2 linked regions of the Rhinolophus ferrumequinum genome follow. The protein of the gene in region 1 interacts with the protein of each later gene in a pairwise test. Links are inferred from orthologs where the notes say so. Each region holds a gene or a part of one and is shown in the gene's direction. Other genes may lie near its edges. The genes, in order: PAK2 and RHOJ.

What was found.
Region 2: the proteins of PAK2 (region 1) and RHOJ interact in binary tests that used the Homo sapiens proteins (3 or more experiments, as listed by UniProt). The two-hybrid records come from large-scale screens. The link is inferred for Rhinolophus ferrumequinum from reciprocal best matches to the Homo sapiens genes PAK2 and RHOJ.

The regions. Positions count from the first base shown.
Region 1 is NC_046285.1:50,988,589-50,992,506, forward strand, and holds the start of PAK2 (serine/threonine-protein kinase PAK 2), read left to right. Parts: upstream 1-929; 5' UTR 930-1,181; intron 1,182-3,538; 5' UTR 3,539-3,715; intron 3,716-3,918. UniProt on the Homo sapiens protein: Serine/threonine protein kinase that plays a role in a variety of different signaling pathways including cytoskeleton regulation, cell motility, cell cycle progression, apoptosis or proliferation.
Region 2 is NC_046289.1:32,317,566-32,321,483, reverse strand, and holds the start of RHOJ (rho-related GTP-binding protein RhoJ), read left to right. Parts: upstream 1-1,337; 5' UTR 1,338-1,752; coding exon 1,753-1,999; intron 2,000-3,918.

The DNA.
Region 1 (3,918 bases):
GTGTAAACCAGATAACATTATTTCCCTGCTTAAAACTCCTTACCATGGCCTTCAAGATCCTTCCTGACCTGAGTCTTGTTTGCTCTAATGTTTTCATTCTACACTGTCCTCCTTGCCCTAAGCTCCAGCTACAAGGCCTTCTTAACTGACCTTAGCAAGCCCTTTTCTTCCTCCTTCTGGTTGTAATCTTTTTCCGGGTGCTTCTCTTAGTTCGCTCTGTTCTTGGCTTAAATGTCACCTCCTTGGCTTCTGTGGTCACCCCATCCAAAGAAACCTCCCCAGTTTTTTCCTTATACCAGACATCATTATTTTAATTATTGTGTTTTCATATTTGTAAGCTCCACAAAGGCAAAGTGAGTCATGTTCACCCTTGTATCCCTGATGCCTTAACAGTATTTGGTACATAGTAGACACTCAAATATTCATAGAATTAGTGAATACATTGATAACGCCTCCAAGGATAAAACATGGACACTTCAATTTGTAAGGAGGTGGAGCTCAATTTAGCAGCAAAATAATAGTAAGTCTGTAGGTAAAAAGCAAAATGGATAATGGATGAGTTCCCAGAAACAAATGTCCTGGAGCAGATTCATGTAACAGTAATATCTGTCAGCATCTTTGGTTAGCACAGACCTGGAGACAATGCTGAATTAAGTGAAGGACTGGCGTGCTCTTAATGTAAAGACCAAAAGAGGAGGGGGAGGCTAGAAGACGAGGGAGAGGGAGAGGGAGGCAGTACACATCTCCAAACTACAACTCCCAGCAGGCCCCACGCGAGTCCCGCCCATTGGAGAGCGGTGCCCGTCTCCGCCCCGTGGAGCTCCAGGCTTCGGGTGGGGAGGGGTGGTACCGTGGCCTCGCTCCTCCTTGCTCCCCGCCGTCGCCCTCCCCCAGGGTTGTGGCCACGCGCAGCGGCGGCGGTTGTTCCGCTTCCCCTCCGGCCGGGGCCGTCGCCATTGCCGAAGGCTCCTTGCCCTCCCCTCCCGGCGCCTGCGGGGCTCGGCTGCCGCTCGGCCTAGCGGTAGCAGCGGCTGCGCTACAGCGCGGCTCCTCTTCTCGTCCCCCTTCCCCTTCCGTCTCCTTCCCGCCGCGAGCCGCGCGCTTGCCCAGGGCGGCTCCGGACCCCGCCGGGAGCTCGGACGGAGGCGCCTCGCTGGGGCGGGGACCTTTCCTCGCCTGGGGTAAGTGTGCAGACAGGCCGGGACGCGGGCCATCTCTCTCCTTCCTTCTTCCTTCTCCGCGGCCTGGCAGGCTCGAGCGGCCCGGAGCAGCCGACCTGCCCCGCGCAGGGCCGGGGCAGCCGCCACCTGCGTGCCTGCAGCCGCGACTTCTGGGGCGGTGGCTCATTGTCTGCTCCCTAGGGCTGTTTTCTCCGTTTTAAGCCCGAAATGGGAAGCTGGCTGGGCAGGTGAGGTCTCACTCTTCCTGAACCCAGCCCTGCCCTAAACCGTGTCGCCACGGATTCTGCCCTGTCTCTGTCTGCCTTCCGTTGCGTTTCAACCTCCTCCTTTTTCTCCGTTTACTTTAATTTTCAACCAGACGTCTTGAGTTTTATTTCCCGATTTTTTCCTCTCTCACTGAGTCCCAGCTCCTCCTTTCTACCCCTCTGTTCATCCCGTTTCACTGCTCAAGCATATTGTCTAAGGCTCTTTACTCTTTCTAAAGTATAATCTGTAATTTCCATATTTCACATTAGTAAAAACGTACAGTTTTCCTGGGGTTTGAGGGCCTCCACTTCAGAACTTTCGGATCTTCTCGTGATTCTTATTTGATCTTCAGCCAGGAGGTGAATATTTGCTTCTTTAGGTAATTTAGGTGAAAATTGACTTTTAACCATGTTTGGCTTTCTTTAAAACTGCACACACATACAAAACGCTCCCACAAATTCCTCCGTGGGCTCAACTTTTGGCCAATTCTTTAAAGATAAAGTCATTCAGTAACTGAAGTGTGAAAAGTAATTGCCATTGTCAGTTGGTGTGGGGTTGTGCCCATTCTTGTATCTTAATTTTAATGGGGTTACTCTGGGCAGTGTGAGCGTGATTTGTTTCCTCCTTGATAAATATTGTCAACTCCCATTGACACAATTATCACAGTTCCACTTCACAAGTGATCTATAGTTTTCTTTTTTAACCTGTGTAAAAAGACAATTAAAATGCTTAGGCCTAAAATTAGACTCCGAGAAGCTGTGTTTTGGATCAAGGTTGTGCACGTCACGTTTTTCCCCCTGCTCTGTTTGACTCTTCCGCTCTTATAAGTAGGCAGGATATTGAAATATACAAGAATTTGCTCTGGGGGTTTTGTTTTTGTAGGGTTATCCAAAAGAATAACATTAAATGAAGTAAGATTGAGATGAAGGCAGTGAATAGTAATTTTTAAAGCAGGTTAGAACTTGTCAGCTTTGCCAGAAGTTCTGTGGCATTCGTAAAACACACTCGTAGTCACTTCTATATATTTTATATATATGAAAAAATACATATAAATGAAAAGCTTTGTGTATATTCTGTTAAGGGTATTGATTTAAGGCAGTTCTTTCATCATCGGCTTTTAAACCTTTCTACCTATTAATTAGCCAAGAACACTGATTTACGGTGTGAAAAGTGAACCTCAAAATGTTTTTGACCTGTAATATATGGAGGTCTTAAACCCACTTTCAGGTTTTGGTGAAAGAGGTTAACCTAAATTCAGTGAATTTTTTGTTTCCACTAAATAGTACATTGTTACCAAAATTGCTTAGTACTGAGCTTCAATACTGTCAACATTTGGTAGTGTCAGTTGTCCTTAACTTCATGGGAGGTCTGCTTAGCCTAAGGTGTTAAGATATAGTAATGTTAGAGTGAAACTTGGTCTGTGATGAGAGCTTCTCTGCCAGTTCTTTCCATAAGCCGATACTTTTACTAAGGAAGAGCTCCTGGGTATTGTGCTTCACTTAGGGCCTTGATTCCTGCTTACCAGTTATTCAAAGAAAGAGTTGTTCTGGACTTTGTGACATTGAATACTAACCTTGTGAATTCAAATTCATAAAGCGACAGTAAGTTTGTAGTTGGAGTATATCTACTAAACAAATGAATAGGGGTTCCTATGTTTCTCTGATGCTTACGATAGGCCCGTTTCCAAGATGTGGTTAACAGTGGTGTATATTTCTTTTCAATTATACTTTTTAAAAGAGAAAACTTAGAACTTGTTCAGGTAGCCAAGGATAAACTTGCAATTATACTTTTTTTAAAAGAGATCTTGTTCAAATAGCTAAGGATAAAATAAGTAGGTACTGTTAAATCCTTCCTATGCTTAATCTGTCAATATTGATTATTCTAATATTAAAATACAATGTTCCTTTTGGAATTCTATATTTTGTACTTTTGATGAAAACTTGAAAGTGGGCCTTATTTAAGGCTTTAAGTCTTCAAGTTTCTGATCAATTTATTTTCCAAAGCCCTTTCAGTTAGTTGGAGGGCTAATTGATTTCAGATTAATCAGAGGGAAGGTGTTACGTTACTCACAGATCTCAGTTGTCTCTCCTATCCTTCTTGTACCTTGGCAGAAGCAGAAAGAGAAGGAAAAAATAGCTCCTATTGCCATGAAGAAATACTGATTGTTTTCTTCTGTGATCAGAATTGAGTGACACTGCATCTTCATTTTAGGATCACTAACCTGATTAAGAGTAGTCAATCTGAACACTCACACGGGATTTGCATTCTAGCTTACTAGTATCTCCGAGGTAAGTTAATGCTTGTCCCACGTACCCCAGGTGGTTAAGGCGGTTAGGAGCCGGAGACCTGGGTTGGAATCCTGGCTCTTCTGCTTGATCCTGGGCAAGATACACATTCTTTTTCAAGACTTGATTTTTTTCATCTGTAAAATGGGAATAATAATAATAATATAATAACAAATTTCATAGGGTTATGTAGGGCAAATGAGATA
Region 2 (3,918 bases), on another chromosome or scaffold:
AGAAGAAATTTAGGCCTATATTTATTATACAGTAGCATATATATGTATATATAGCCACATATATGTATACATATATACATGTATATTATCAATAGTCACATATCAAAATAGACTTCTCTCCCACCCTCTCCAAAAAAAATTAAAAACCCTCCTCAAATCAATTGGATAATCTGAATTCTTAAAAATCACTGCTCAAAAATCTCAAAGAAACAGAGAGCTCCTTCATCAAAAAGGGACTTGACCCATTGTCAAAATCATTTGCAGAGTTCCACTTCTTTTCTAAGACCAAGTGCATTAATTAAATGCAGAGCTTCAAAGGGGCTTCATTCTGAGTGACCCAACAGACAAATAAATTAGCTGCCAGTGGCTCCTTTGTAATTGAAGAGGGCCAGGCTGACCCAAGGGGATAGGACTAAATCAAAAAGGGAACCGTCAAAGTGAAAGCAGCATTTGGGGACCTAAAACAAACTAATAAAGCCATCCCCCACACGCATTTCCAAGAGTAAGGGTGAGCCAAGCACATGTGTGTTTATTCACTAATAAGAAGATGCAAATATCCCACATCTGACTGATTTCTTATGTGCTACAACCATAAAAATGTTTGTGCCTGGAACACATGTTTGTTTGAGTGTTGTGCTCAACTGTGGCAATGTATAATCCTGAACACACATATTATACCTACAATCTACAAGAATGTTCCCCTTTGAAACAGTGTAACTCTGGGAGGTTTTCTTTTTTTCTTTTTTTGATAGTTTGCAAAATACTGTATTTGCATGATTTATCATTCATATTACAAATTACTATATATTTTTTTAATTTATTGGGGTGACAATTGTTAGTAAAATTACATAGATTTCAGGTGTACAATTCTGTATTACATCATCTATAAATCCCCTTGTGTGTTGGTTTTCTTCTTTATTGTAGGGACGAATTGCTTAAGGTTTTCATTTAAGTATGTGAAGAACTGTCCATTTTTAATTTGCAGAACTTTTAACTGGTGACTCAGTGAGGGATGATGTCATATGTTATCCTACAACGGCTGGTGTGGTTCGCTCTGCTCACTTAAACCATTCCCGTTTCTCTGGCAGACAGTACTCCCCAGTTTCCATCCTTTCGTCAGCCTCTTCCCAGCCAGCCACAGGCAAACAGCCCCCCCAGCAGCGGACGCGAAACAGGAAGCCTGACAGCTTGAGTCTGCTTTGGGACCCCTAGTGTTTTCCCACTCCATGTTCTGGCAGCGTTCCCCAGAAGTACAAACACACACACACAGAGCTCCCATTGTTGCAGCCTTCCCCAGCCCACTGATCCTAATATGGAATGCAGCAGGAAACCCATGATTTCCTGACACTCGGCAAGCTGGAGGAAGCAAGGGGAAAACTCCATTAAAAAGCCCAGCTTTCCTCCATGTTAGATGTGAAGTGGAAAATGGGGAAGATTCAGCAAACTTCCACTGTGTCTTCAGCCAGGCTGGAAAGGGGGAGAGCAGAGTGAAACCCTCAAGCTGTTGAAATTTCCAGATTGGCAGGAAATCCCTAGAATTCAGTGAAAATGAGGGTTTCTTAACTCAAACTGATAGGGAAAAGGGACAGTCCCTTTGAATAATTCTCCCAAGTCAGTGTGTGTGTTAACTTTCCTTACCAGTATGATAAGCAAGAGGGCATATGCCAGCTGCCAAGGACGAATTTGTATGATCCCAGGTACCCAAAGTAAGGCAAAGTGATCTCAAGCCTGCCGCTGGCTGCCCGCTGCTCCATGGGCTTTGCGAGAAGCAGGAGAAGCAACAGCAGCAGCTCAGTCACCACAGCTGGAGCCGCAAGAATGAACTGCAAGGAGGGAAATGACAGCAGCTGCAGCTGCGGGGGCACCGAAGAAGAGAAGAAGATGTTGAAGTGTGTGGTGGTGGGGGACGGTGCTGTGGGGAAAACCTGCCTGCTGATGAGCTACGCCAATGATGCCTTCCCAGAGGAGTATGTGCCCACCGTGTTTGACCACTATGCAGGTAAGAAAAGGCGGAAAACCTACCCCTGCAGACCGGGTGAGTGATACGGGGGCGACACCCAACTTCACAGGGGCCTAGCTCGCGTCTAACGTCACTATTGGGTACGGGCCTAGAACTAGCCAGGTAGCTTAGCATAACATACAGCCAAGGGCTTTGCTGGAATTATTAGAACAATTTGTACATCAATTTGTACTGTAACACTTTTCCCTTCTTAAATCAAGTGAATAACATGGGGGAAATACCCTGAAATGTCCTCTGGGTTTTGGGGCCATTTGCCTCATATTTATCAACTTTTTATTGTGAACATTTTAAAATGTAGTGTAATTATACCACAATTTTTACCAAAAAAAAAAAAAAATCACCACTAACCACAATAACAGGCGAAACAAGAGTTCGTGCCACTTTTCCTATATTCATTTCAGGCCATTCATAAATGAAAATGCTAAGATTAATAAACATTAGAACCTTCATTTTTCTATATTAATTGGTGATGTACTATTACTACTGCACTTTCATTTTCTTGGGGTTATGCATGGGGGGGAAGTATTAAAAGGTTTTAAATATCTATTAGGCAATCTGTATTTTGAAGGAAAAGAAACATTTTTATAGGTTTTTAAAAGTAAAAATAAAGATTAAAAATCAAATTTGAAACATTTTCAAGTATGTCCCAAAAGGACAAAATTGGGGATAAAATGTTTTAAATCATGGCAGTTAAGATACTATAGTCACAACTTAATTCTTTCAGGTATATAGTTTTCCAGTGTTCTAAAGTTTGTAGTGTGATAGCTTATCAGTGTGATAGCTTATCTAAGTTTTTCCATTTTGACTCTTACTTTTTCTCTTAATTTCCAAAACAAATCTTATTAACTTCTTAAAAGTTCATAAAATTCTTCAGAAGTTCACAATAGCCTAGATTTTATAACTTTTTGAACATAGTGATCAGCTCGATAAATTATCTGAGATTTGAGATTTTGTAAGAGGAAAATGTCTCTTCCGTCACCTTGGCTTCGGGTGAGATTCAGCAAAAGGGAAACGACCCACAGGAAACCTGTGTGAGTGCTGGCTTTGTTATGTGGCCTTTTGAAATCCTCTTTCTGCAGGAAGTAGCTTCTTTTCCAGAGCTAAACAATCACCTAAGTCCCCTCCTCCTCCTACATTTACATGATTTATGATAATATTACATAGCAGACAGGGAGAGAATCATAGTATCCATTTCCCAGCAGGTTTTTCTATATTTGTAGAAATTAAGAGCAAATTTGAATGTTGGCTCCCTTCAGCTGTTCTGAAAATATAATGACTGTGCCCAGAGAAGAAAATTTTTATGAGAACAGAATAAAGAGAAGAACAGGTAGACTTTTACCTTTAAAAAAAAAAAAAAAAAAAAAAAGCAAATTATAACATTAGGGTGTCTGCGACTTAAGAAAATTACTAGGCTACTTGACCTGTAAAGATCTTAGCAAAATTTATTTATTCTACACCCTCTTTCCTCCAGGAAAGGGAACCTGGCTGGTACCTAATTTCAAAAACATTTATAATAGATCAAATATGAAACCTAAAATCTACTAAAAGGAGAGGTTTCAAGTGCTTTTGAAAATTACGTGTCTCACCCTATCTATTGGGTGAACCAATTACAATGTAATGTCAGGGATAAAGAGAATAAAACCATCTTTAGAGATAAAGTCAGCCTATTAAAAAAAAAATACATATTAAAGATCAAAGGCTGAAGCACTACGAGATTCCACTAGGGTCAAATTTTTTTATATTTCAATTGTGTACATATTTATTATCTATCCAAGCATCTTAAAGATTTTGGCTACTCTACGATTTTAGCTGTCAAGAAATCACAGCCACTATATCCAAAGCAATACTTGTCACACAGTAGGCATTCCCAAACATTGTTGCTTTAATTTACACTTTGT